Linked DNA regions of Oryctolagus cuniculus. The protein of the gene in region 5 interacts with the protein of the main gene of each other region in a biochemical or structural test. Links are inferred from orthologs where the notes say so. Each region holds a gene or a part of one and is shown on either strand. Other genes may lie near its edges.

What was found.
Region 1: the proteins of DOK1 (region 5) and ABL1 form a complex in vitro, tested with the Homo sapiens proteins (5 studies listed by BioGRID, with this or other methods). The link is inferred for Oryctolagus cuniculus from reciprocal best matches to the Homo sapiens genes DOK1 and ABL1.
Region 2: of the proteins of DOK1 (region 5) and TEC, one has a biochemical effect on the other in vitro, tested with the Homo sapiens proteins (2 studies listed by BioGRID, with this or other methods). The link is inferred for Oryctolagus cuniculus from reciprocal best matches to the Homo sapiens genes DOK1 and TEC.
Region 3: the proteins of DOK1 (region 5) and CRKL form a complex in vitro, tested with the Homo sapiens proteins (2 studies listed by BioGRID, with this or other methods). The link is inferred for Oryctolagus cuniculus from reciprocal best matches to the Homo sapiens genes DOK1 and CRKL.
Region 4: of the proteins of DOK1 (region 5) and LYN, one has a biochemical effect on the other in vitro, tested with the Homo sapiens proteins (2 studies listed by BioGRID, with this or other methods). The link is inferred for Oryctolagus cuniculus from reciprocal best matches to the Homo sapiens genes DOK1 and LYN.
Region 6: the proteins of DOK1 (region 5) and FGR form a complex in vitro, tested with the Homo sapiens proteins (2 studies listed by BioGRID, with this or other methods). The link is inferred for Oryctolagus cuniculus from reciprocal best matches to the Homo sapiens genes DOK1 and FGR.
Region 7: the proteins of DOK1 (region 5) and RASA1 form a complex in vitro, tested with the Homo sapiens proteins (2 studies listed by BioGRID, with this or other methods). The link is inferred for Oryctolagus cuniculus from reciprocal best matches to the Homo sapiens genes DOK1 and RASA1.

What each region holds. Positions count from the first base shown.
Region 1 is NC_091432.1:233,356,083-233,360,195, reverse strand, and holds the start of ABL1 (tyrosine-protein kinase ABL1), read right to left. Parts: upstream 2,801-4,113; 5' UTR 2,786-2,800; coding exon 2,626-2,785; intron 1,933-2,625; coding exon of another isoform or gene 1,834-1,932; intron 1,688-1,833; exon of another isoform or gene 1,305-1,687; coding exon of another isoform or gene 1,169-1,304; intron 1-1,168. Other genes in the region: uncharacterized protein, read right to left, coding at 1,834-1,932. UniProt on the Homo sapiens protein: Non-receptor tyrosine-protein kinase that plays a role in many key processes linked to cell growth and survival such as cytoskeleton remodeling in response to extracellular stimuli, cell motility and adhesion, receptor endocytosis, autophagy, DNA damage response and apoptosis.
Region 2 is NC_091433.1:41,336,061-41,339,560, reverse strand, and holds part of TEC (tyrosine-protein kinase Tec), read left to right. Parts: intron 1-197; coding exon 198-369; intron 370-459; coding exon 460-676; intron 677-3,500.
Region 3 is NC_091452.1:29,679,627-29,683,556, forward strand, and holds the start of CRKL (crk-like protein), read left to right. Parts: upstream 1-1,130; 5' UTR 1,131-1,666; coding exon 1,667-1,977; intron 1,978-3,930. UniProt on the Homo sapiens protein: May mediate the transduction of intracellular signals.
Region 4 is NC_091437.1:81,210,349-81,213,848, reverse strand, and holds part of LYN (tyrosine-protein kinase Lyn), read right to left. Parts: intron 2,307-3,500; coding exon 2,261-2,306; intron 1,443-2,260; coding exon 1,337-1,442; intron 1-1,336. UniProt on the Homo sapiens protein: Non-receptor tyrosine-protein kinase that transmits signals from cell surface receptors and plays an important role in the regulation of innate and adaptive immune responses, hematopoiesis, responses to growth factors and cytokines, integrin signaling, but also responses to DNA damage and genotoxic agents.
Region 5 is NC_091433.1:128,406,402-128,410,657, forward strand, and holds the start of DOK1 (docking protein 1), read right to left. Parts: upstream 2,801-4,256; 5' UTR 2,663-2,800; coding exon 2,603-2,662; intron 2,320-2,602; coding exon 2,020-2,319; intron 1,866-2,019; coding exon 1,766-1,865; intron 1,565-1,765; coding exon 1,380-1,564; intron 1,133-1,379; coding exon 383-1,132; 3' UTR 1-382. Other genes in the region: LOXL3 (lysyl oxidase homolog 3), read left to right, coding at 3,003-3,231, 3,434-3,497. UniProt on the Homo sapiens protein: DOK proteins are enzymatically inert adaptor or scaffolding proteins. They provide a docking platform for the assembly of multimolecular signaling complexes. DOK1 appears to be a negative regulator of the insulin signaling pathway.
Region 6 is NC_091438.1:143,942,568-143,946,534, reverse strand, and holds the start of FGR (tyrosine-protein kinase Fgr), read right to left. Parts: upstream 2,801-3,967; 5' UTR 2,582-2,800; intron 1-2,581. UniProt on the Homo sapiens protein: Non-receptor tyrosine-protein kinase that transmits signals from cell surface receptors devoid of kinase activity and contributes to the regulation of immune responses, including neutrophil, monocyte, macrophage and mast cell functions, cytoskeleton remodeling in response to extracellular stimuli, phagocytosis, cell adhesion and migration.
Region 7 is NC_091445.1:10,198,827-10,202,849, reverse strand, and holds the start of RASA1 (ras GTPase-activating protein 1), read right to left. Parts: upstream 2,801-4,023; 5' UTR 2,425-2,800; coding exon 1,934-2,424; intron 1-1,933. UniProt on the Homo sapiens protein: Inhibitory regulator of the Ras-cyclic AMP pathway. Stimulates the GTPase of normal but not oncogenic Ras p21; this stimulation may be further increased in the presence of NCK1.

The DNA.
Region 1 (4,113 bases), on a different chromosome or scaffold from region 5:
CAGTCCCAGGCTGGGCCAGGCCAAAGCCAGGAGCTGGGACTGCATCTGGATCTCCCATGTGGGTGGCAGGTGCCCAAGCACCTGGGCCATCGTCTGCCGTCTCCCAGGATACACCCATCAGCAGCAAAAACCCGGAACCTGGAGACAGCTAGGACTCAAACCCCAACATTCCTATACAGATGTGGGCATCCCAAGGGGCGCTTAACTCACTGGGCCATGACGCCTGCCCCCCAGTTAAGGTGTTTTTTTTTAAAGATTTATTTATTTTGAAAAAGTAACAGAGAGAGGGAGCTTCCAGCTGTTGGTTCACTCCCCAGATGGCCGCGACGGCCAGCACTGGGCCAGGCTGAAGCCAGGAGCCTCATCCGGGTCTCCCACATGGGTGGCAGGGGCCCCGGGGGTCGTCCTCTGCTGCTTTCCCAGGCCATGAGCAGGGAGCTGGATCAGAAGTGGAGCAGCCAGGAACCGACGCTGCACCCACAGGAGATGCCGCATCACAGGTGGCGCCCCCTCCCACCCAGGATACTATGTTAAGGTAAAGGACACGAACGAACGAAGCTGATTCAGTGGTCCGACCTCTGTTTCAGACGGCGGCCAGGCGACCCCTGCTTCACCCCCACAGAATCACTGGAGGTGAAGAGAAGACGCCCACAGGAACGCCAGAGCGCCCAGCGTCCCCCTGCACCGGGAGAGAAGCGGGCGCGGGCTCCGGCCGCGGGGAGTTCCGGGCTCAGCCCCCGAACGCTGCCTTCTCCCGCAGAGCCGGGGAGCGTCTGCGGGCCCCACTGCCCTCCTAAAGGCCAGGGGGTTCCGTGTCAACTGAGACCTGAGGTTCCCAAACCGTGAGAACAGACGCGGGCTCGCTAAGGACCCACGCGAGTCGGGGAGCCGCCGCGAAGAAGCCAGCTAACTGCCACCTGGTCGGGAAACGGAGGCCCCGGGTCAGCACCAAGGGGACGCGGCGCACGGCTCGGTGTGCAGGGGGCACGCAGGCACCAGGACACCGTTTCCAGGACTAAGCGGGTTCCACGCGAGGCTCCGGGACCACCGCGAGCGCCCAGCGGACGCGGCAGGCACGGGCACCCGCGGAGCCGGCAGGCACGGGCACCCGCGGACGCGGCAGGCACGGGCACCCGCGGAGCCGCCGGGACGCGCCCGCGACACTCACCGTGCTCCACGAAGACGTTGCAGTGCGGGCCCCCATGGCGCGCCGAGTCCTTCTTGCCGGCTCCTTTGATGAAGTGCAGGGCGGGCAGACTCGGCCTTCTCTGGTCCCCAAGAACTTTTCCAGGCTGCTGCCCCATAAAGTTAGCGCGGGGCTCCCCTTTCCAGAAGAGGGTCCAGGAGCTTCCGGAACGGTCGGTGGCCTCGGCGGGGCCTTCCACACTCAGCGCATGCCCGCCACGCCACGGCGGCCCGCACGGGCAGTCGCGGGCAGGCACCTGCCGGGGGCTCCACGCATGGACACGGGGGGCCCGCTGACTGTTCCCAGCCTCGGGCTTTGGGGAGTAAGGTGATTCCCACACTCCCCAAAGGTTTCGCCGTCTTTAAGGATACTCCACTGAGTGAACCACGCTTTTTCTTTTTTGGGAAGACGCACCTAAGCAGAACTATTCCCGGAGCGGTGGGGCGCAGGGCGACAATCCCTTAGTCCTTCCGGCAGCGTCGCGGGCCCCGGGGTGCTCGCCCGCGCCTGTCCCCCAGCAAAGCTCCCGCCGGGCCGGGCCGGGCCGGCTGCGCTCCGGCTCCTCGCTCTCCCCGGCCCTCCGGAAAAGGACGCGCGGGTCAGCCGGATCTCGGCGCGCTCGGCACGGAATGCATGGCCAGCAACTTTTAAGTCCGCTTTTTAAAAGGCCTGTGAAACCAATCCAGGCTCTTCCTTTGCATGGAAGTTTCTGGCTGGGCTGAGACCAAGGGGGCCGTAGGTGACATTGGAAGAAGTCAGGGCATCAGAGGCTGGCGGGGGCAACCTGGCGGGCCATGGGAGGCCACCTGACAGCACGCAGCGGGTCTGAATGGGGGTCTCCGGCGGCCAGCCTTGGGGCCGGCAGCGGGAGCGGGGGGCGACTCCGGGGCGGGGCACGGGCGGCTTACTCGGGGGGCGACGCTTCTCCACGCCTCAGGAAACGGGGGCGTCCCACGTCCGGAGCGAACAGAGACCACCCCGGGGGGGGGGCGTCCCAGAGCCGCGGCGGGGCTGCAGAGACGAAAGACTCGCGCGGCCCGAAGGCGGGAGACGGGCCGACGAGAGAGGAGGCCTGGCCGCCTCAGCTGCCCCGAGCCCGGGGGTCTCTGCCCGAGACACCCCCGTCCCGCGGCCCCGGACGCTGCCGCCGCCGCCAAGCAGTCACATCCCCCGAACTCCGCCGAGGGACCCCGCCTGCCCCCCGCCGGTAGGGGCCGTGGGCCACGAAGGGGCTCCTCAACCGCAGCACCCAGGAACCGGCTCCGACTTCGGCGCTGCTCAGGGACAGTGGCCGACCCCCGCGGCCGCCATGATGGATTACGAGCCGCTCCACAACGAGGCCAGGCCCCGCCCCCGGCCCCGCCCCCCGGCGCCGTCCGGAGCCCGCCTCGCGTGGACTGGGATGCCCCCGGCGCCGCTTTCCTGGGACCCCGTCGCACCTTCTGGCTCTGGCCTCAGTGCCTCGCAGGAGCCCGGCCCGGGACGACCTTTTAAAGGCGACTTTTCCGAGTGCAAGGTGAGTGGTAAGGAAGCGCCCGCCTCCCCTGTACTGCGATTGGCCTCCGAGGATCCTGGCCAGGCCTCTCTCCTCCATCCCATTGGTCGACGCGGGCTGGCATGCTGGAGGCTTCGGCCAATGGAAGTCGGCGCAGCCCGCGGGGCGTGCCGGGAGTTGTAGTCCCGCGGCGCCGAGGCGTCCTGCGCGCTGCTCCCGGCTGAAGCGCTTCTGGCCGTAGCTCTCCGGAGCCGGTGCTCTCGCCGGCCTCGCGTCGGGCTGGCCGGCGGGGCGCCAAAGCAGGGGCCAAGCTGTGGATCGGATTCTCCGAGAACCGGAGTCGGATTCCTTCCTGGAAACCGGGGGATTCGGTGCGCTCCGCCCCTGCGCCCTTGCAGACCCCGGCGCTGGAGAAGACAGGGCCGCAGGGGCGGCGCCCGGGCAGGAGCAGCGCTCGCCCCGGGCCCGGGGCCGGCCTCCGTCGAGTGCGCCGTCGCCTTGCGCCCCGGGGCCGGCTCCCCGAGTGCGGACGCGGAAGCGGGCTGGGGTTTCCTCCTCTCTGCCGTGCGCCCCAGGCCTCGGGACGCTGCCCCCGCCGCGGGGGCGCCAGGGGTCTCGCAGGGGCTTCCGCTGGGCTGGGAACCGGCACCGGCTTCGCGAGGAGAGGGCCCCTGGGGTCCCTGGACGCGCAGCAGGTGGGGCCCTGAGGGTCTTCGGGGCTAATCGCTTGGGCTTCGCGCGGGCGGGCGGCCCTGACCGGCGGCATCGGTCCCTCCCACCATTGACCCTGCTCAGCGCCCTCACTTTTCTTTAGTGGGGGGGCGGGGGGTGGCGTTTGCTTTTCCTGTGAGCCCATGCACGCTTCACTCACTTCCTCCACGTCTTCGTCCTCCAGTTTGGCTAAAATCCGGGTAATCGAATCAGAACTCCAACAGACGCACCCAGCAGGCGTCCGGCGGTGCTGGGTGCCGCGGTGGACACGCTGCCCTCGCGCTCAGAGCGCGTGTTGCGAGGGGCAGGGGCCGTCTGGACGCTGGGAGTCTCATCTCGGACCCGGCACCTTTGCCAGCTGCTCCCCCCTGCCCGCCGACACCTTCCCAGGGGACCCACCTGGCTCCTTCACCTGCTCGTGGGGCTCGGGGCTGCTTCCCTTACGAGGTCATCCTGAGGTCCAAACGAGACCTGGCGTGGGTTTCCACGGAGACGGTGACTGAGGCTCCCGGAAGTCACTGTGGGCTGCACCTGACCTGAAGACTTGTCCTGGTCTCCATTCCCAGTGACAGGAGAGCCCCACGCCCTGGCCGTACCTCTCTCCCTGGAGATGCACTCTGCTTTATAACCCCCCGTGTAACACCACAGAATGATGTCTTTAAGGGCTTGTACCTGGAATCCAGAGCCGAGCAAATGTGTGACTGTCACAAGTAACTGAATG
Region 2 (3,500 bases), about 87 Mb from region 5:
GATCGCAGGAGGAAGAGTGGTAAATGCGGAAGTATTCGTGTTTTATGCAAAGTCCTTAGCCTTCAGCTGCGTTAGTGGAAACGTAACTCCTGCAGCCTTCTCCTGCCTCCTTCAGGTCGCTTGGCTGGCATGGCGACAGTTTGGAAGGGCTGTGTTCCCTTTTCACTTGCTGACGTCTGCCCCCTTCTGTCTTGCAGAGAAGTGGGAGATTAACCCTTCAGAGCTGACCTTCATGCGGGAGCTGGGCAGCGGGCTCTTCGGAGTGGTGAGGCTTGGCAAGTGGCGAGCCCAGTACAAAGTAGCCATCAAAGCTATTAGGGAGGGCGCCATGTGTGAGGAGGACTTCATAGAAGAAGCTAAAGTGATGATGTAAGTCACGCGCAGCCCGTGGCCCTCCCGTGCCCTGGTGACTTCTGTTCTGTGGTACCTATGTGTGTGTGTGTGTGCCTTCCTTCCCAGGAAACTGACACACCCGAAGTTAGTCCAGCTTTACGGCGTTTGCACCCAGCAGAAACCCATCTACATCGTCACCGAGTTCATGGAGCGCGGCTGCCTTCTGAATTTCCTCCGGCAGAGACAAGGTCACTTCAGCAGAGATGCGCTGCTGAGCATGTGTCAGGACGTGTGTGAAGGCATGGAGTACCTGGAGAGAAACAGCTTCATCCACCGAGACCTGGTAACCAGGACCCTCCCGTGTGCCCGTTCATTGGCTGAAGTGCTGTGCAGCACAGGGTCAGCTCTGTGCTGGGAGGCATTCATGCCCATGTTTGTTTGTAACCATGTTTCACTGTATGTGTGGTTTTAAGATTTATTTATTTGTTTGAAAGTCAGTGTTGCAGAGAGAGAGAGGAAGAGAGAGAGAGAGGTATAGAGAGAGGAAGAGAGAGAGAGAGAGAGAGAGGGAGGGAGAGGTCTTCCATCTGGTGGTTCACTCCCCAAATGGCCACAATGGCCAGGGATGGACCAGGCCAAAGCCAGGAGCCAGGAGCTTCCTCCTAGTCTGCCACATGGGTGCAGGGGTCCAAGCACTTGGTCCATCCTCCACTGCTTTCCCAGGCCATTAACAGAGAGCTGGATCAGAACAGGGACAACCAAGACTCGAACCAGCACCCATATGGAATGCCAGCACTGCAGGCAGTGGCTTTACCCATTATGTCACAGCACTGGGTTCCACCATTATTTATTTATTTATTTTTTTAAATTTGAGAGTGAGAGTCACAGACAGAGAGAGGGAGAGACAGAGAAAGAAGTCTGCCATCCACTGGTTCACTCCCCAAATGGTGCAACAACCAGAGCTGGGCCAATCCAAAGCCAGGAGCCAGGAACTTCTTCTGGGTCTCCCATGTGGGTACAGGGGCCCAAGCCCTTGGGCTGTCTTCTTTTGCTTTCCCAGGCCATAGCAGAGAGCTGGATCTGAAGAAGAGCAGCCAGGACATGAACTGGCACCCATATGGGAAAGCCAGAGGCTTAGCCTGATGTGCCACAGGGTCAGCTCCAACCATTATTTTTAAACTTTGTAAATTTAACTCACCCCATTATCTTAAAGGAAAGATCTTTATTAAATGTAATGATTCGTGTAGTTAAAGTCTCCAAGCAACCCTCCTGACATCAGTTATCTGATCTCCAGAAGAGTGCTGTGAGGTCTGGCAGATTTTATCTCATCACTGTCCCCTAGGCAAGAAAGGCAGCTTTGGGGACGTGAAGTGGCTGCCTACTGTAACACACAGGGAAGTTAGGCTTGGCTTTGGCCTCTGACTAAATCCCAAATTGTTTCCCACCTCTCACACTATAAACAGAACCTTGATGAGAAATCCTTTGGTTCATTTTCTTTGTCTGTAATCCTCGGGCAAAGATGGAGACTCACGTGAACTTCTGACCCTACCAGGAAAGGAGATCTGTTGGTGGCACTAATTCATTGTGATGCACACTTCCTACTGTTTCTCCTCCCACTCTTTCTCCTCTGCTCCCCCTCCCACTCTTTCTCCTCTGCTCCATTCTCCCTGCTTTTCTCCACGAATGTGTCTGTTCTCATCCTGTCAGTAGCACCTTCACCAAAGCAAGCGTGGCTACCCTCTGGATGGTCTCGTATTCGAGTTGCACTTTTGTGGTCAAGCACAGACACAAGTCTTCCAGAGCAGCAGCAAAGCATTTTTTTTTTTTAAATTAAGGATCACCATCGGTAGATGTGGTTCTTTTCTTTAAGATTTATTTATCTAGTTGAAAGGCAGAGTTACAAAGAAGCAGAGGCAGAGAGAAAGAAAGAGAGAGATCTTCCATTTGCTGGTTCACTCTCCAAATGGCCCCAATGGCCCGGGCTGAGCCAATCCAAAGCCAGGAGCTTCCTCCAGACCTCTCGTGTAGTCGCGGGGCACAAGCACTTGTGCCATCCTCTACTGCCTGCCTTCCCAGGCCACAGCAGAGCTGGATCGAAGTGGAGTAGCCAGGGCTTGAATTGGCACCCACATGGGATGCTGGCACTGCAGGCGGCAGTTCTACCCACTACGCCGCAGCTTTGGCAACTAGATAAGGTTCTAATAAATATTTCACAAATGTAAACTCATTTTGAGTCATTATAACAACCCTTGGAATAGATATTATGATTCTACAAATAGGATAAGATAACTGACCAGTGTCAAGTCAGTTGTGGATCCAGGGTTTGAACCCAGGGAGTTTCACTCCAGAGTCTATACTGTAACCGCTGTGCTGTGTCATATCTAGATTTAAAGTATAACAGGGAGCTGATGACTTGGAGATGGAAGACTTGGTTTCCAACATGTATTTTGGGACAGTTACATAGTCTTTCTGATACTCTGTTTCCATATCTGTAAATTGTGGGTGTCGCTCCCCCTCTTCGTGGAGGAACGACACAGGACCCTGCGCTGTTTTTCGTCTGTTCGGCCCTCCCCGGGTTTGCTGCTGGTTCTTCCCGGGTTGGCTACTATCCCTTCCACCTCCGTGGAAGGGCGGTTCCCCCTGGCCACATTCCCCACTTCCGCAGGGGAGCGGCACACCGCCGGCCGGTTCTCTCGGGGGCTGCACAGGTGTTCCCTCAGATGTTCCCCTTAGATGTTCCCGGTGCATGCCGTCTCTCTCCTCCTTTATAGTCCTCCTCCGCCAATCCTAACTTGGCTGCCCACACGCCGAGTACGCTGCTCTCCAATCAGGAGCAAGTCCTACAGTTTATTGGTTGAACTGGAGGCAGCTGTGCGGAAGCTGTTTACTTCTCTCCCAGCACCATATTGTGGGAGAGCAGATGCATAGAATAAGTCTTAATTCCAGTAACTCAGTCCAGTCCGGGCCGCTCCCCACAGTGGGTATAATACTTTTTTGCTCAAAAGATTGTTCTAAACATCATATTGTACTGGGGCCAGTGCTGTGGCATAGCAGGTAAAGCTGCTACCTGCAGTGCCGGCATCCTATATGGGCTCCAGTTCAAGTCGCAGCTGCTGCATTTCCAATCCAGCTCTCTGCTGTGGCCTGGGGAAGCAGTACAAGATGAC
Region 3 (3,930 bases), on a different chromosome or scaffold from region 5:
CTTCAGGTCCTGTGCTTTTTTCAAATCGCACCTGAGCCAGCACATCTCTGGAGAAGATGAAAACCTACTTATCCAGAGTCACAAAAAGCGATAGATTTTCACATTCGGCTGGGCCTAGGGTGGACCCTACAACCTAGGTCACGTTCAGCTTGCTGCGGGAGAGACGGGCAGAGAGGCGCCAACCGCTAAGTATGGTCTACCTGCAATGTCCTTAGCAAGGAAATCCAAGTTTGCTTCTCTCTACTCAGCCATGCTTTCTGCGGCCAATTCCGAGGGCACACGCACCCTGACGACTTTTCTCAACAGTCACTCACTTAACAAATATTTGCGCAGGGACTCAAGGCCAGACATTGTGCAAGGCAGACAAGACAAAGGTGAACCAAGACAGACGAGATCTCTGCTCTCTTAAAAACATACTTCTCGTGGAGGATGCAGGGGGAGGGAACAGGCTTGGGAGGGCATGGCTGGAGCTGGGTAAGCAAGGGGCGCGCCGGGGGGCGGGTGAGTCTTGGGAGATTAATTTGGAGGGGCTGGCGGAATCCGGAGCGGAGGGAGCCCTCAGGGCCACGCCCGAGAGGCATTTTCCTTGCAGCCACTCAGAGCCCGTGGCTGCGGTTGTCCTAGCCCACTTAACCCCGGGTCAATCCAACCTTCATACCCCCTATTGATATCAATCAGGACACTTAGCCACCTGGAGTCCCTCGGCCTTTCAGGTCACCTAGGGCCTGCGTCATCCACTCGCCTCCAGGACTCATCCTCTGGCCGGGCTCCCTCGGGCCGCTTAGACCCGGCCAGGTCACCTCAGTGCCACGCCTCCATGGCCCGCGATTCGCCCGGCACGTTACGCTTTGTTTCCCAGAAGCAGGTTTTCAACCCGCCGCTCCCTCCTCAGCTCCAGCTGTTTTCCTGCCAGCGCTGGGAGGCCCAGCGGCCGCAGCGCCCCCGGCGGCGGAGGACCGAGGCCCAGGAAGGGAGTGCCCGCCGCCCCCCACCTCCTCAGCCTCCTCCCGGAACGCGGGAGCGGGCGCGAGCGGCGCGCGCCCGGACCGCCCCGACCGTGCTCCTGATTGGCTGTGACCCGTGACGTCACGGGGAGGGCCTCGGCGGCCGCAGGGAGCCGGAGCTCCCGCGCGTGCGCAGACGGAGCGCGCTGAGCGGAGGGGGGTGGTGGCCGGTCGCTTGTCCCGCGTCCGCCATTTTGTTGCTGTGGCTATTGGGAACGGGCTGGTCCAAACTGCCCCGGAGGCACGAAGCTCTCTGGAGTCCGGTGCTTCGTGTGACGGCGTGGGGGGTCCGTGAAGACTTGTGGGGCTGCGGAGCCGGTGCGTTCTAGGCCGGGAGTCACCGGAGCCACCCCCTCCCGGCCCCGGGACGCCAGGCAGCCAGATAACCCCGGGGCGGCCTCCGCTGCGGCTCGGCGTCGCCCGCCCAAGGCTCTGCCCCGCATCCCCCCGGGCCGGCTCTCTGTGTGAGGCGGCCTCGGAGCAGGCGGGCGGCGGCAGAGGATGCTGCGGGCCCGGAGCCCAGAGAAAGGTGCTGGCCGGGCCGTGTGAGCGCGCTCCGCGGTGTGCCCAGAGGCCCTGCCTCGGCCCCAGCGCCGTCTGCCGAGCTTCCAGGCTTCCAGGGCAGGCGAGAGCAGCCGCCACCCCGCCGTCGGCCCGACACCATGTCTTCGGCCAGGTTCGACTCCTCAGACCGCGCCTCCTGGTACATGGGGCCGGTGTCTCGCCAGGAGGCGCAGACCCGGCTCCAGGGCCAGCGCCACGGCATGTTCCTGGTGCGCGACTCCTCCACCTGCCCCGGGGATTACGTGCTCTCGGTGTCGGAGAACTCGCGGGTCTCCCACTATATCATCAACTCGCTGCCCAACCGCCGCTTTAAGATCGGGGACCAGGAGTTCGACCACTTGCCGGCCCTGCTGGAGTTCTACAAGATCCACTACCTGGACACCACCACCCTCATCGAGCCCGCGCCCAGGTAACGCGAGCTGCCGCCCTTCCCCGGCGCGCGACCCCCGCCACCGCCGAGGAGGGAGGGGAGGGCATGTCCGGGTGAGGGGCTGGAGCCCGGTCCTCCCCAGCCCTCAATCCAGAACCGCATTGTTCCCCAGAAGGCGTTCCGAACGGGAACGGTTAGTGTCAGGATCTGGGTCACTGGATCAGAGGGCTGCGTGTAAAATCGCGGGAGCGGCGATCGTATAGCTGAAACTCACGCCTTTTGTCATGTTTTCTGCAGTACTAATGGGGTTTTATTTATTTGTTCTTAAAATTTTTTTTTGGGGGGGGTGGGACCATAAACTGCTTTTGAGAATTTGAAGATAGCCAGAGGGTGTCTCCACCCGCCAGAAAGTGCCGGTACACGGAGGTTCACCCCTTGCAGATCTCCAGGTTAAGAACCCCTGGGCTGCAGCCCTTGGGTAGTCGCCAAATGAAAATGCTTTAGCGTTTAGCAGCACAAACCTGTAACTGAAAGAAGTGTCGGCTGATGGTCTGGTGCCAAGTTTGAAGCAGCCCAGACACACCTGTTTCACCTTACATGAATGACAAAGAAAAGAGAAAGTGCGACGCCTTCAGCGAGGGCTTTTTGGGGGGGGGGGGAGTTGGGGGGTTGTACCCTCTCCTCAGGTGGATCATTCAATAGGCTCACGCCTTAGTTTCTGTTTTTTAAAGACAAGAACCCGCAGTGACATTACCGAGCATAATGCGCTATTTTATTTGATTGTTTTCTTTAATTGGTTTAAGCGGGTTTTTTTAGCGGTTTATTTTGTTTAAAATTATGCCAAATTGGAATTGAAAAAATTGCCTAGATTTTTTTTCAAAGGATGTTTCACTGCTCAGTTGGTTTCCTAAAACATCTGTTTAAAAAGAACGGGATGTTGATGTAGTTTTTTTCCTGGAGTGAGGTGTTCCTGACTTTATAGATTGCCTAATGACAAGGTATTGTGCTAAACTTAAAACATTAAGAGCTATTATAATTAATTAAAAACACCAACTGAATGCATAAGTGTTGCTTCTGTGAAATAGAGAAGAAAGCAAGCCACAGTGGTATATTGACTGTAAGATTACTTAGCTAAGAGAGAAAGTCATATAAATCAAATACCGTATAACAAAGGCCACGACGCCAAGAATCTCATTGGTCAGACTCCAAATCCTAACCTGCTAGGAGATAAAGTCCGAACGAGTGTCATTCCAGTGTAAGAGGTGGATGCGAACCTTACCACTGTAATATGGTATTTGTAATACAAGTAAATCCCTTCTCTAGTTTGTACAAGTAAACTGCCTCTATGAAGCTGTATTGTGTGGTTATAACGAGGGGACAGTTGCTGTAATACAGCTGTTGGTTTGAAAAAGTGTGAGTTAATGGGTGAGCTTCCACCAGAGGGAGAGAAGGAAGTACGCTATGGTGGGCTTCCCACTCCCCACAAAACCCAGATTTCCCATAGGCATCTTCCCAGCGTCGGCGCTCTCATCCATGCCTTACGCCTCTGTACCTTTGGTTGTTCATTGACAGACTCCACCCACGCTCCACCTATTGAAATCCTACCTGTTGTCAGTCCCCTCACAAATAATAGGGTGTTTCGCCCTGATCCTCCCCCTCACAATCCACTTATATAACTCTTTCTCTTTCTCTGTGCCCTCTGCCCATGGTTGCTGTTTTTTCCTGAGTATCCCAGTACTGGTCAAATTAGATCTGGGCTTGATTTACTTTTTTATGCTGAATCTTTTTTTTAAGATTTTTTTTTGAAATTCGGAGTTACAGAGAGAGGGGGAAAAGACAGAGACCCTCCATCCTCTCTGGTTCACTCCCCAAATGGCAGTAACAGTCAGGGCTGGACCAGGCCCAAGCCAGGAGTCTGGAACCCCATCTAGGTCTCTGTTGTGGGTGGTAGGGGCCTAAGCCCTGGGTCATCTTCCACTCTTCTCTCAGGCG
Region 4 (3,500 bases), on a different chromosome or scaffold from region 5:
TATTTACTTGAAAGGCAGAAAGAGACAGACACAGACACAGTCACAATCACAGAGAGAGCTCTTCCATCCACTGGTTTACTCTCCAAATGACCACAAAGCCAGAGCTGGGCCAGCCCAAAGCCAAGAGTTGGGAATTCAATCTGGGTCTTCCACAAAGGTGGCAGAGACTCAACTACTTGAACCATTCTGCTGCCTACTTGGATATGTAGTAACAGGAAAGCTGGTCTTGAGAGTGGACCTAGGCATTCTGATATGGGATACAGGTGTCCCAAGCTGTGTCCTAACCACTGTGGCAAGTGCTGGCCCATGGAGTACCGCCCTGTACCCCTGTGGTCTGACAGGGACCACATGTCTGAGAACCAGCATGGAGGGTGGAGGAAATGACCACGTCCAAGTATCTTCACAGAGGAGATGCCCCCATAGGGGTTGGGGATGTGGGGAGAGGTCAGCCAATACCTACAAAGTCACAGGTAGATAGGAGGGACAGGCACTGGTGTTCTAAGGCACAGCAAGGTGAATATAGTTAACAATCATGCATGGATGTCTCAGAACAGTCTGAACAGAGGATTTTAAATGTACTCACCATAAAGAAATGATCAGTGTTTAAGGTGATGGCTTTTCTGAAGTGACAGCTACAGTAGCACAGTCCCTTTTGAAATCAAACAAATTATGTACCAGGGTTGTGGTGCAGCAAATAAAGCTGCAGCCCATGATGCCGGCATCCCATATCTGAGTGCTCCACTTCCAATTCAGCACCCTGTTAATGTATCGTGGAAAGCAGTGGAAGGTGGCCCAAGTTCTTGGACCCCTGCCCTCAAGGAGGAAATCCAGATGGAGTTCCTGGCTCCTGGCTTTGAGCTGGCCCAGCACGGCCACTGTGGTCACTCGAAAAGTGAACCAGCAGATGGAAAATTCTCTCTCTGTGTCATTCTGCCTTTCAAATAAATAAATAAATCTTTTAAGCAGGAAATCAAACCAAATGGGCCCACATACCCAGTCCAAATCTACACAATGCAATGAAATAAAAATGGCATCTTAAAGAATAGGCTGCACAACCCAGACTTCTTCAGGTGGCCCCGTGGGATAAGGCAAAAACCAGAGCCTCTGCAAACAGAAACCTGAAAGGTGCTCAGCTGGACTCCAGGGGAAACCTCTCGGTCATGCTCCCTGCAGGGAGTAGGTCCTACACAGTGCAACAAGGGGGATGCAAGGCCTCCCGTTCCCCAAGCAGGCAGTCTGGCTATGGTTCTGCTACTGCGAGCAAAATGAGGGGACAGACTGCGGGCCCCAGCAGCCTGAGGAAAGAAGCAATCACCCCAGCCCCGGGAGCACTTACTCCTCCAGCACTTTCATCTTCTCTCCTTTCTTGAAAGACAAGTCGTCCTGGTGGATGCCATCATAGGGGTACAAGGCCACCACAATGTCCCCTTGTTCCTCTGGATCTAAAAAGGAAGAACATAAGTAAAGACCTTGGAGGATTCAGCAGCAGAAATGAGTTCACAAACCCTCAACAGGTGCAAAGAATGAGCTGAAGTGCTAATGACAGGAGAAACCGGAATGAGGACATGGAGTTTGCTAACTGGAGACACTCAGGGTTCACACGGTCTATATGCTGGGACACACTAATTATGGTATCTGTTATCACAAACCATTCTAGTTCTATATTCAAGAAATGAGACCTCACTCGTGTTCATAGCAGTATTATTCACAATAACCCAAAGATGCCTAGTGCCCAGGGATGGGTGAATGGAAAATAATGTGGTGTGTATGTGTGCATGTATGTATGGAATAATGGCATCTTATTCAGCTTTAAAAAGGAAAGAAATTCTGATACAAGCTGTGTACTGGAGGAATCTTGGAGATATTATGTCAAATGAAATAAGGCAGAGAGAGAAAGATAAATATCGTATGGTTCCATCTATACAAGGTATCTACAGTATTCAACTTCCTAGAGACAGACAGTAGGTGGGGGTGGCCAGGGGCTGGGTATGGGCAGACAGGAGGTCAGTGTTCAATGGATACAAAGTTCTCATCTGGGCAGACGAGAAGGTTCTAGAGATGGATGGTGGTGACGGTTACACAACAGTGTAAGCACACTTCCTGCCACTGAGCTGCACACTTAAACATGGCAACGATGGTAAATTTTCCGTTTTTTGTATATTCCCACAATAAAAATGCAAGTAAAATCATCTAGGAAACCACTTTATAGAGGCTTTCACAGTAAAAAAAACAAATGAACAACACTGCTATGGAAACATACCTTTAGTTTGAAACCTCTGTCCTGGTAAAAGCTGAGATTCTGGAACCTACGAGAGAATATTGGTTAGGAAAAAAAAATGTAGGTTTAGCTTTTCTTGCTCATATTCATGTTGTGATTCATTTTTCTAACAGCAAATGGCGTTTGGATTTGCTCATTTCTGAAGCTGGAAAGAGGGGGAGTCGAGGGAGAAAATTCTGCAGTGCTTTGTCATGACTACACGGCTCAGGGGGAGGGCCCTGCCTTCTGAGAATGGCAGGAAGTGAACAAGGCTCTGGCCGGCATCTGCTAGATGCACACCTCATCATCGTTCCTCTTTCTATCTGGTAACAGAACCCTAGCTTTATGTGGGGGGTGACTGGCCCAGCATAACGACTGCACTTCCAACCATTCCAGCCCTCTGCACAGATGTGCACCGTGGCTGTTCAGGGCTTTGGCAAAACCTCTCCCTTTCCTGGTCCTGCTTTCTGCTTAGAATCAAATGAAGATAAAGAGTCCCAGCTGCCACGGACACCGAACACTGGGGAAAGCAGAGGGAGAAACCTAAGTGACCGGGGTCCTGGTGACCTTCTAGAAGTGTCATGTCAGCCCAGAGCTGGCCGTCTCCCTGTTCCGGGGACTTGTTTGAATACATGTGGTCACGGCTCTGTCACCAGCAGTGAAGAACAAGTCCCAACCCATCCAGGCTTTCTCGGGCTGCCCTTGACTCAGACAGCGCCCCACTCTTCCCAGAGTTGGGAGGGGCCTGGTGGTACCACAGTTCACCTTGGTTACATTTAGCTCAAATTCCTCTTTCCTGCAGTGGCACAGTGAGGCTCATCTAAGGAAGGTACTCTCAGAGGCCTCCACCACAACCCATGTAACATTCTGTTTCTCTTTGATGAAAGTGATTTCATGGACAGTTTATACTGAAATTACAATTTGAATTTCTGATCAACATCAGCCAATTATCTCCACTTCATCAGGGTGGGTGGGTGGGGACGATTGCTGTACTGTGAAATCCGAAAATCCATTCCATACCATCCTTCAATACTTCAAGAAGTTTTATACTGATTTTGCAGTCACTTAGATTTGCATAATTAGGATGTCTGATCTATTCTATATGATTTAGAGGAAATAATCAGAAGATGAGAAGCTGAATAATTCTGAAAGCAGCAAATTGAGTTTCTAATATCAAAGCACCTTAATTTACAAACATTTTAACAGCCTTCGTACAACCAAAACACGTATGTGTGACTCCACG
Region 5 (4,256 bases):
ACGCAGGCAGAGTCCAGCAGTTCCCTTGAGCCTCCACGCAGGCCCCCCAAGCTGTCCCCTCTAAGTACCTCTTTCTGTGCACTTGGCCAAGCAACTCTGTTTCCGCGGGAGGGGGCTGGCTGACCCTCCCTGGAGCCTAGCATCCAGCCCTGCCAGTTGGTTCGCTTCCTAGGACTTCCTGGGATTGACAGGCCTTCCCTCAGCCCCCAGCCCTTGGCTCCCCTGGGCTCACACACGCTGGCTCTAACAGGTTTCTTTGATCCCCAGTGCCATCGCCCTCGTGGTCCTTCCATCAGCAACCCCGGCCTTGCCCTGCTTCTCAAGTGGAGCCCTCTGACTGGACCCCAGTCCTGCCACTCCCTGCCCTAGACTGCCCATGGTCCTAGCTGCCGGAAGCTCCACACTTCTGGACCTGGCTGTACAGGGCAGTGTCTGAGCTGGGGGCTTTGCTGCCACTGCCGGTCGTGACACCAGGTTCCGGAAAGGTTGGGCCCTGGGGCTTGGGAGCAGGAAGGGGCTTTGTGCTCCGAGGCGGGGGTACAGCATAGTCATCAGTGGCAGGGTTGTAGGGGAGCTCATAGCCCTCCTCCTTCAGCCGAGCCTGGCACCACCATGCGTCCTTGGGCTCCTGAGGCAAGTCGTACAGGCCCCGGGGCGGGGCCGGGGCCAGGCCCTCCGGCTCATCATAGATGGGGTCCTCTTTGGTGTCTGTCACCTTGGCCTTCAGCAGCTGCTCTTGCACGTGCTCGTACAAGTCCCAGTAGAGACGCTTCTTCTGCGGTCCCCCCTCCCCTGCCCCAGCAGCAGTGCTGTCCAGGGGATCTGAGTACAGGGAGTCCTGGGAGGGGCCAGGGGGAACACGGAGGGAGTCTAAGGGCTCTGCATACAGGGCTGGGGGATTTCCCAGGGGCTCCTGGGGGCCAGGAGGGGAAGCCAACTTCCCTTCCAGCACCTCTCCTTCCTGAGAGTCCGCCCTGAGAACCTCGTGCCCCTGGCCAGCCTTTCCCTGGACCTTCTGCCGGTGGATGGCCGTCTCCACGGCCTGAAAGATGTCATTCCCCTGTGCTGTCTGGAAGGTGAACGTTCCAGGGCCCGAGGGGCAGCGGCGACCGGCCTCAAAAGAGAACATGACCTGTGCAGGGCGTGAAAGGAAGGAAACACATTACCTTGGGAGGGGGCAGGGGAGTCAGGGGGCGTGAACTAGTGCTAAGGTACCTGCAGAAAAGGCAATGCCGGCACCGGGCTGGGTCATGAGGCAGAAAAGGAAGAGGATCCCAAGAGCAGAGCTCCCCACCTTCCTGCCCTGCCCCGCCTCACCCACAGCTGCCCTGGGACCCAGGAAGCCCTCCCCCGATAGTTCTCCCAGACAGCGGCTGCACCTTGTCCCGGCCATAGCGACGCAACAGGGTGTAGGGCCAGGAGAGGAGTGGCTCCAGGACCTGCTTCTGGGCCCCCACAGTCAGAAGAGTCAGCCTCTCGGCCTCTACCCTCAGCACGTAGGAGCCATGCAGCCCGCAGCGCTCGGCGGCCTCAGTCCTCTGCACGGTTACCCAGAACTGGGACCCTGGAAGGAACGCACCGTTACACTAGCACCTGCTAAAACAGAAGATGGGCAGGGGTGGGGACCACGAGCAGTGTCCCAGCGCTCGCGGGAAGCCGAATCCCAGGCTTCCTACCTCTCCGCGGGGCCCCTGCACCCTCTAATCCCCGGCTCCCCGGAGGCCCTCCTCCTCCCCACTCCATCGCTCCCAGGCGGCTGCAGCACCTTCCCAGGTGGGGCTGTACAGCGAGTTCTCCAGCATCTTCAGCGCAGAAAGCTGAGGCGGGTTCGGGTTCTCGGCGGGCGCCTGAGCCCAGCTGCCTTTCTGTTGCAAAGAGAGCGCACCCGCCGCCACTCTGTCATTCTCTCAGCGTGGCTGCGGGGGGTCTGAGGTCCCCAGGTTCTGGTGCTGCTGTGACTGCCCCCCTCCCACACCGCCCCCTCAGGTCCAGGGCCGCTAGCCCGGGGGGCCCCCTCACCGGAAAGGCATTTCGGCACAGCGACTGCACCCAGGCGGCGCTGGAAGGCGCATCGGCCGCAAGCAGGTGCGAGCGCTGCGCCGTGTCCAGGCGGAAGGCAGTGGCGCCGGGCTCCGGGGGGCTCTCCACGGCCACGGGGGCCACGCTCACGCATTCGGCCAGACGGATCACCTTGCAGTCCAGGCGGCGCGAGCCCCCTCGGCCACCTCCAGAGCTCGACCCCTTGTGGTCGAAGAACTCGAGGCGCGCTACGCCGTGGGGGCTGGCCGGGTAGAGCACGGCCCAGGTCTTCCTCCACCTCTAGGGAGAGAGCGAGCGACACTGGGGAGGGAGCCGGCGTGCGCGGGTGGCTCCCGCGCAGGCCGATTTAGGGTCTGGGGCTTCGCGAGGAGGATGCCGCTCGGCCTCCCCGGGGCCCGGAGGCGCCACTGCGAGCCTGCAGACGCCTCTCCGGAGCGTGCAGAGCAACTTCGCGGGCACGTCACGGGACTCTGCGGCTCTCACGCGCCGCTCGCCCCCTCCCTCCCGGCCCTTTCACTCACTTTAGCCCCGTTGGGGTTCGACACCCCCTGCCCCCCGCTACCTTGGTCCCAAAGCGCTGACTCTGCAGGAAGAGCGGCCCTTCCATCACGGCCCCGTCCATGGCCCCCGGCGGTTCTTTCCGCGCTTCCTGGCCCTGCGGGCGTGAGGCGGGGCCGGGGGCGGGGTCGAACCGGCCAGGGGCGTTCCCGCCGGCCCCCGCCGGCGGCACTGGGTGGGGGGGCAGAGGAGCCAGGAGGAAGGGGGTCGGGGTCCCCAGGTAAGCCGGGCGGCGCAGCTCCAGACCCCTACCCACCCCTCTGGGGGCGTGCACAAGTGGCTCCGGCGAGTGAAACTGTGGTTCCAGTCAGACCGCCTTGGCGCCCGCGTGCCGGGGCTGCGTGTGACGTCACAATCCCAACATGACATCAGAGACAAGGCCGTGACATCACTTCGAAACAGCAATGAAGGGGCCCAGTGGGCCCGCAGGGCTTCAGTTGTCCTGCGGGCCCGCCCCCAGGCCAACCCGAGGGAGACTGTTTATCTCCGCTGAGCCAGGCGGGGAGGGAGGCTGGGAGCTGGGGCAGGAGGCTTCGCCGCCGCCCGGTGGCCGCTTGCGAGTCCAGCTCCCTGACCGCAGCAGCCGGGCCTCCGACCTGCGGGAGAAGAAAGCTTCATTGAGTCGGCTCGAGGGTCGGGGAGGGGGAAGGGGCGCGGCAGCGGCCAGCTTCACGGGGGAGGGGAGGACCCAGAGGCGAAGAGGAGGGAACTGGCCGGGGAGGAATGGAGGGAGAAAGCGGAATGTGGGAGGGCTCTAGGGGACGTGGGAGGGACGACCGGGGAGGGGGAGGGAGGGTCCGGCCGCCCCTGGCCGAGCACTTTTTTTTTTTGAAAGTCCTAGGACTGCTCTCCGGGACCAGAACTCTTCTCGAAGCCCCTAGGGCCCCGCTCAGCCAAAGGTAGGGGCGGTCAGGCTGCGGCCCACGCGAGGAAGAGGCCTTGGGGATGGAGAGCAAGGTGGCGGGACCAAAGGAAAGGGGATGGCGTGGGATGGGGCCGGGGAAGCCAACCAGCTGAGAGTTATTGTCAAAGCGGAGACACGAGAGGAGTGCAGAGAGGAGGCTCACTCCTGGGGGGTGCGGGCGGCAGGGTGTTCCAAGTGGGGCAGCGGGGAGGGGCCTAAACTGGGGGCTCCCCGGTGAGGCCCGGTCCCTGGGCCCCCAAGCAGGAACGTCCCCAGAACAAAGCTGTCTTGTTGGGCCGTTTGTCTGGAGTGGGAGAAGCATGTTCGGCGCGCCCCCCTCCCGCTGTGCAGCGGCCGTTCTCAGCCCCCCACGGAGAAAGCCCTGGCCCCGGGTTGCCTGGTGACAGCCACGGTGGTTTTGGCAGGAGGCTGGGACAACCCCACCCCATCCCCTGCCCAGCTTGAGGCCTGGCCCTGCTGGGCCCCTTGACCCTGCAGGGCATCGGAGAGCCTGTGCCCCGGCGAGGCTGTACAGCCGGCTGGCCCTGCATTCCTTCCTGTCTGCCCTCCTTGTTGGGGGAGTCAGCCCAGAGCGGGCTCAGGATGAGGTCCCATTCCTGGGCTCCCACGTCTCAGAGGCCCCAGGGCCTGCCTCTCTCTGCACAGCGCTGTGCCGGGTGGCTGGCTAAACGGGGTCACCAGGGTGCCTGCCGCATCTGCTCCCTGGCCCCCATCAGTCACTCTCCTCTCTGGT
Region 6 (3,967 bases), on a different chromosome or scaffold from region 5:
CCACCCCCAGCCTAGTATCTGTGAGATCCAGAGACAGATTCAGGCTGAAATTCTCCCCTGCCCGAGAAAGAGCATGCGTGCAGCTCCCTCAGCTGTCAATGCTCTACCTAAAAAACAGGAATGCAGATCTTTCCCTCAAGGGGTTGCTTCAAATGCAGTCAAGCCCCCAAAGCATCAGGCACACAGTAGGTGCTCAGTGAAGGTTCACTCCCCTCCTTTCCTTTGAGGAAGACCCTCCACAGTAGGGGGAGGCAGCTGAGGGCACGGGGCTGGGCAGAGCGGAGAAGAAAGAGAAGTTCCCAGGCGAGGTGGGAGGGCTGGGCTGGCCTCAACCACGCATGGGGGATTTCACCAAAAGGGAACTGGGACTCTGGGCAGCAGCCGGAAACCACCATCCTGCAAGAGTTCCGGCTTCTCCTCAAGGCTCCGGCCGGGCAGGGGTGGGGCAGGGGAAAGGCTAAGGTCGGCAGGTGAGTCCCAGTGCCATTGGGCCCCTCGCCAAGACCAGAGCCGTGGCTGCGGGCATCCACCCCGCACCCCGGGTGCCGGCCCGTCGGCCCTAGCTGGCTCCCGAGGGCACCGCTTCTCAGCAGTACTGTGGTTTCCTACCTGCACTGAACCACCCACGCCAGCCTCTGCACAGGGCTCCCAGTGCCACTTGCTTGGCCTGGGCTTCAGCATTTTCAGGAGCTGGCTCCGTGCCCAGGGGCAGCTGAGGGCAGAGGAGTCCGGGTTCCACAGTGTGGCAGACCGGAAGCCCCCTCCCAGGTCCTGCAGGGTGGGGCATCGGGCCCTCTCCCACCTTGGGCAGCCCAAGGGTGGGAGTGCACCCTGGCTCATCCTTCCCCAAACTCCGAAGGTCAGGCCATTTCCCTCACCACACCAGCCCCAGGTGGGTGCAGAGGAAACCCAGTGCACACACAGATGCTCACAGGCTCACACGCATTCACCCAAAGCCCAAACCACACGCACATTCTCTCTCTCTCTCTCTCTCTCTCTCTCTCTCTCTCTCTCTCGCCCACGCTCACTGCTTCACACCCACTGGGGAGCAGGAGCTGGTGGAGGAGCCCAAGGACCCCCAACCTCCTCCCCCATGTACCTCTTCCCTCTCCAGGGGGCTCTGAGAGATTGGGTAGGGATGAGATTGGGGGGCGGGGTGGCTCAGAGGCAAGGTGCCCTGGACTGTTGGTCCCTACTGTGGGTCCTGCCAGTCACCGACTCCCAAACCTCCCTCTCCCCATCTGTGAAGTGGGGTTAGCAGCCTGCTTTCCCATCCCCAGCACAGATGAAAAGGTGCCAAAGGCCTCAGGATCCCTGAAAAAACCACTGACTGGAGGGGTGGCCACCTGGGTGTGGCACCAAGAAAGGTGGGGGACAGATCTCACCCCTGCTGATCTCCCCAGCATGGGTCCTACAAGAGATGTAGGACATCTGTTTGTTAGGTGCCCTCTGTGTGTGGGTCCCTCTCTTGTCCCCCTCCATGTTTTTGAGAAGGCAAAGGACAGAGCCCCTTACCCCCTCCAGGACCCTCAGCAAAACCCGCATTGCAGGCCAGGGTCTCACCCGGGGCCAGCAGGCAGGTGTAGCCAGCTTCTATCTCCATAGCTCAAACAGAAGGAGGCGGCCCAGAGAAGCCTGACCTGCAACAGTCACACAGCAACTGAGGACATAGTCTTGCTAAGAGCCCCCCACTCCAGGATCCCAGATCATGGAACATCAGCACCCCCTCCTCTGTCCCGCACCCCTCCCAAGATAAGGACTCCAAATTGCAGCAAAGACCGGGCCCCCGGGGTGGGGGTGGGGGGCTGCGCCGGCCACCAGCCCCGAAGCAGCCAGAGCCCAGCTCGCCTCTCCGCCCTCTGGTTGCCATGGACACAGCCCCTCCGCGCCTTCGCGGTCAAAGGCAGGATTTCCGTCGGGGCGGCCAGCAATTCCCGGATCCCGAGAGGAACGCGGACCGAGGCCGCCGCCGCTGGCGGGGAGGGGGCGCCGGGAGAGGCCGTCCCTGCGGAGGGCGGGGACTTCCCCAGGAAGCGCCCTGCAGGAGTCCCTGCGGCCGGCCCCTGGCGCCCACCAGTGCGGGGGCGGGCAGGTCTGGGGGCCGCAGGCCTGCGGGCCTAGGCTTGACCCCCGACTTCTGACGATGCGGAACAGAGGGTACTTACTGGGCCCCTGAATGGCCCCGTTAAACTGCGCGGGCCAGAACTCGCTCTCCCTGACCCTCTTCTCGAATGTCCCCGCACCCCACGGAACTCCTTCCCAAATGCTGCATTTTCAGAGTCCCCGCACTCTCTACCCCAGGCCTCCCCCGACTCTCACCCCGCGTTCCAAATCGCACCCTCCAGGCCCCCACTCCGCCTCCCCGCCAGACCCCGCCTTGGGGGTTCCCAGATGCCCCGGGCCCTGCCCCGCAGGTTACTCCCAGGTCTCTGCGGTTTCCCCCCTCAGCCCTTTTCGAGGTGAGGTTCCCTTGGCCTTCAACTTCTGTAGCTTGTCTAAGTTCAAGTGTCCCTACTGCCTCCAGCCCGCCCCCTCCTCTCCCAGACCTGTCCCAGCCCCCACCTGCCGCGGCCAGACCTACCTGGTGCCAGGGGAGCCTGATTCCGCCAGCCCCCGGCGAGCCAGCCGGGGCTCACGCAGCTACGAGTGCCGACGTGGGCGAGGGCTGGGGTGCTGCCCGCCTCTGCCCGCCGCCCCCTCTGGACAAGGGAGGAGGAAGCCGCCTCGGACTTCTCTTATTGCAGCCGCGGGCGGCGGTGGCAGTGGTGGCGGCGGGGAGAATTCGTTGTCACGCCCCAGCCCCGACCCGGCTGCCCGCAGTGGGGAGGGGCCCCCAGATCCAGGCCCGCCCGCCCTCACTTCCCGCCGGCCCCTGGTTGTGGGGGTCGGCTCTCCCAGGCCTCTCCCCGCACCCCGGCTGCTTTCCCAGCCCCTGCCCCAGGCAGAGCTTTCCCGATGGTTCCCGACCGACACCTGTGCTGTGGGCATCCCTGGGGTGGGGGAAGATGGGCTTTTCTCTGCCACAGGAAGGCCAGTTCCTCCTGGGGAAGCCCAGGAACAGGTCCACTCAGCCAGAGGACCTCAGACTGCTGTCACCGGAGCCGCTGCTGTGGATGCTGTCTCTGTGCCTGGGGAGGGTAGGGAGCAGCCAGAGACTTCCCTCGGGCCACATCCAGTGGGGGAGGGGTGTCGCTCCCCACAGCTCTGTTTTAGAGAAAGCGAAGCCTCCTCTTCTGTTACAGTCCCAGCCTTTGCCGCTAGTAGTGAGTCCTGACCCCTGGCCTGGGGTTCCACCCCTGCTTCCACCGTTGCCTCTGCAGCCTCAAACCAAGCACTAGGGTCCCATGCTGTGGTGCAGCAGGTTAAGCTGCCACGTGCCCGGCCAGCACCCCTTCTGGAAGTCCTGGCTGCCCTGCTGGGAATTCAGCTCCCAGCTAATGCACCTGGGAAAGCAGCAGATGATGCACCCAGGTGGGAGACCAGGATGGAGTTTCTGGCTCCTGGCTACAGCCTGACTCAGCTCCTGCCACTGTGGCTATTTGAGGAGTGAGCCAGCAGATGAAAGATATCTCTCTCTCTCTCTCTCTCTCTCTCTCTCTCTCTGTCACTCTGCCTTTCGAATAAATAAATAAATAAATCTTAAAAAACAAACAAGGGGCCGGCGCCGCGGCTCACTAGGCTAATCCTCCGCCTAGCGGCGCCGGCACACCAGGTTCTAGTCCCGGTCGGGGCGCCGGATTCTGTCCCGGTTGCCCCTCTTCCAGGCCAGCCCTCTGCTGTGGCCAGGGAGTGCAGTGGAGGATGGCCCAGGTGCTTGGGCCCTGCACCCCATGGGAGACCAGGAAAAGCACCTGGCTCCTGGTTCCTGCCATCGGATCAGCGCGGTGCGCCGGCCGCAGCGCGCTGACCGCGGCGGCCATTGGAGGGTGAACCAACGGCAAAGGAAGACCTTTCTCTCTGTCTCTCT
Region 7 (4,023 bases), on a different chromosome or scaffold from region 5:
ATACTATATTGCCTCCAGTAACTCTAGATTGACATCTAAGATTAAAAAAAAAAAGGAAATTTGCACTTCTAAGTAGTATATTTTAAAAGCATACTTAGACATGGAGGGTACTTTTAGAACATCAACAACTGTCATATACACAGACGTACAAGTTTTATTCTTACTCCTAAATACAAAAAAATGATGAAAATCTCACTGAACAGACTTCTCACAAATCCATATTTTCCTAAGTACACACTCATCTTTATTATTAAAAATTTAACAAGAACACTCTGCTTTCCACTCAATTCTGCTGTAAGCTAAAATTGCTCTAGATAACAATCTATTAAAAAATTTTTTGAACTACAATATCCTAAATAGGCCTAAATCAATTCAGTTATGAACTGGTATAAGACTAGATTCTTTTAATATGAAAAATTACAGTTTATTAAAACCTTAGCAATAAGTACTTAATATTAAGTGTGCACATAATATTTACCTGTCATTTTTTCCAAAAAAGACTCGAAGGTGTGCAAGTAGCACTAAAAAACCAATTTTTAACATTCCCAAGAAATCTGCAAGACACACACATGAAATAACTTGGAATAAAATCAAACAAAAAAATTAATGTGTCAGTAATACAGCATCTTTTCCTAATTTTCCTAATTACTTTTTTCTTAAGATTCATTTTGAAAATCAGAATTGCGGGGGGGGGGGGGACACAGAGCTAGAGAATCTTCCATCCAATGGTTCACTCCCCATATCCCATATGGCCACAAGGGCCAGGCAGAAGCCAGGAGCCAAGAGCCTCCTCCAGGTCTCCGATGTAGGTGCAGGGACCCAAGGACTTGGGCCATTCTCCACTGCTTTCCCAGGTTATTAGCAGGGACCTGGATTGGAAGTGAAGCACCTGGGTTTCCAACCAGGCTCATGTGAAATGCTGTTGCTGCAGGTGGCAGCTTTACCTGTTACACCACAGCTGCAAGCCCTCCTCATCACTTTTTAAAGTCTTTCTAAATCCTCCAAAGTATTAAAAACAAAACAAAACAAAACAAAAAACACCTTTGGCTTGTCCAGAGTGACCATCCATCCACATACCAACCAAATGTTTTTTTCCTGATGCTCACCAAGGCTGCTGAAATCCTAAACATCATTTAAGACTGATGTGACAGATCACGTTTTGCCTACTAGTGTCCCTTCCTGTTCCAACATTTAAGTTATATTTAAAAAGTCATGCCCTGCATATTCTAAATGTCAAAATTAATTTCAAATAGAAGACCGTATTGGCCACCAACAAAAATTCTGAAGCGAAGCGCCGTTAAAATCTGTTTCGCATGAAGACTGTACTTCGAGCGTCTGAACTACAAAAGCATTACAGGTCCATCAACCAAGTCAGTCTACGAAACACGTTACCAGCTCAGAACCTGAGTCCTTCATCACACGCCTAACTCTCACAACTCTTCTTTCTCCCGGACCCACGTTCGCCTAAGGGATCAACACTTCGCTGCATCACTCTGCCTTCGTAGACAGAAGTTGGAGAAGTCGGTGCCACAAAAGCAAAGCATTCTGGTCAATGGATTGTTTTCTCTCCACGCTATCCCTACACACTAACTCATCAGGGCGCACACACACACAAGTCCATGTACACTGCGACTGCCTTGGCTCCGGGCAGGCTTGGCGAATCCTGGGGCACCCATTTGCAGGGCACACAACCATATCCGGTTCTCACTGGACACACACTTTTCCCATGCGTCCCATCTTAAAAACTACATCTTCCCAGAGGAGCCATGAACACACAAAGACGCCCCGGGAGCCCGCCTGTCGGGAAGAGGAGCGCTCCAGTTAAATCCCTACGCGCGACACCCGCAGCTCCACCAACTCTGCACAACAAATCACAGCCGCCAGAGAACAAGGTGCGTCTTCCCCCAAGCCCGCAACCGCACAGCCCACTTACTGGTTAGTCGGCGGCGCCGTCAGCGGGATGGCCACCTCTTCCTCCTCGTACTCTGGTCCATCCAGGGAGTCCCCTTCGTCCACCGTGCCCAGACCCGCACCCAGCGGGGGCAGCAGAGGCGGCGGCGGCGGCGGCAGAGGCGGGAAGCCGCCGCCCGGCCCGAGGGTCTCGGCCGGCAGCAAGGGGGTCCCCTTGGGGAGGGCCATGTCCCCACTAGGTCCAGCAGCGCCTCCCCCTGTCAGTCCCGCGCCCCCCAGGGCCCCCGCCACGGACCCGGCCCCCAGGAACCCCGACCCCACAGCGGCCCCGCCACCCAGCGCCCCGGCCTCCACCAGCCCGGGGCAGGGGGCGGCGGCCGCGGGGAGCTTCACGCGACACACCACCGGGTAGGCGGCACCGGAGCCCGCGGCCGCGCCGCCGCCGCCGCCGCCGCCTCCGGCTCCGGCAGCCACCGGGCCGCCCTCCTCACTGCCGGCCTCGGCGGCCATCATGTTGAAGCCCGCTGCGCTCAGCCTGCGCGGCCCGCCCGGGAGCCCCGGGGGCCAGCAGGCCCGGGCTCCGAGCCGCCCCACCCAGGCGCGTCCCCCCTTCAGCTCCCCAGGCGGAGGAAACAACAACAAAAGGAGAGAGCCCGCCGCCGCCGCCGCCGCCGCCGCCGCCGCGCCCCCTCCCCGGGCCACAGCCCAGACTCGCGGAGCCGCCTGCGTTACGGAGCGCCAAGTGGGCAAAAAAAGCCCAGCGCCGGCACAAACGCCGCCCCGGGCTCGCCTCGCACACCCACACTCACGCGCACACACATGCACGGACGCGGAAAACTTCCTGCGCTCGGGAGGAAGGGAAGCCCGGGGGAAGCGGCCGAGGCGGCCGCCGCTCCCTCAGCCGCCGCCGCTCGCTCACCACCCGAGTTCCGGCCACCCCCACCGCAGCCGCCGCCGCCGGGGCCGCTGCCTGGGACGCAGCCCCGGCAGCCGCTGCATCCTCCACCAGCCCGGCGCGGGGAGGGGTGGGCAGGGGAGGCGGGAGGGGCGGGGTGGCGAGGAAACCGCGGCGCTGCTCGCTACCTGCAGCGCTCGGGTAGTGAAACCCGAGACAGACCGGGAGGGAGAGAGAGAGAGAGAGAGAAAGGAGGGCGGGGCCGGGGAGGAGCGGCGGGGAGAGGAAGGGCGGCGGAGGCGGAGGGCGGCTTCTGCGCAGGCGCGGCCGCGCGGGGCGGGCGGGGCGGGAAGCGGCCCGCGAGGGGCGGAGGCGGCGCGGCGGCCTGGCCCGGCCGCGCGCGCGCGCGCGTGTGTGTGCGTGTGTGTGTGTCTGTGTGTGTGTGTGGCAGGCTGACATGAAACCCCGGGAGGCGAGAGGAGCTGGAAGAGCATGGAGCGGAAGGAAGAGCCCACCGGAGCCACTGCCGCGCTCGCTGACGGTGACGAAAAGCGGCGGCGCGGAGGCCCGACGGGGCGGGCGGGCGCGCGGCGAAGGTCAGCGCAGCGCGGGTGTGGGGCGCAGTGACCGCACGGCGACTGCCGCACTGGCAGGTCAGCTCCAAGGCGGCAGTCCCGGAACTCGGGAAAGCGCCGCGGGTGCCGGGAGCCGTGCGGGCAGGCGGTCGTGGTGTGGAGCGCGGTGTCCGCCGCCCCGTGCCGGCGCCCGTCCAGGTGGACGGTGAGGAGGTGTGAGAAGTGCCGGAGCCCGGGGCGGAGCGCCTGCACAAGCCCCTTGTCCAGGGTGTTCAACAGTAATAGCCTGGACCTCACCCTTAAAGCGCACAAGGAGGGGTTTTGTGTTCTCTTTAAAAGTATCCCTGGGGAACTGGTCCCAGGGCCTCCACCACGGGATACCAGGCTCTCAGGATGCTCGAATCCCTTTTTTTTTTTTTTTTTTTTTTTAATAAAGTGGTGTAGCGTTTGCACATAAGCACACCCTCCATGTACACCAACTCCTCTCTGGATTCCTTGCAATAACTAACACAGTGTAAATGCATGTAAATAGCCGTTATACTGTATTGTTTTGGAAATAACAAGAATCAAAATGACATTTTTGGTACAGATGCATGCTTGTAAAATGTTTCCCAGAGTTAGTTAATTCCTCAGATGTGAAGG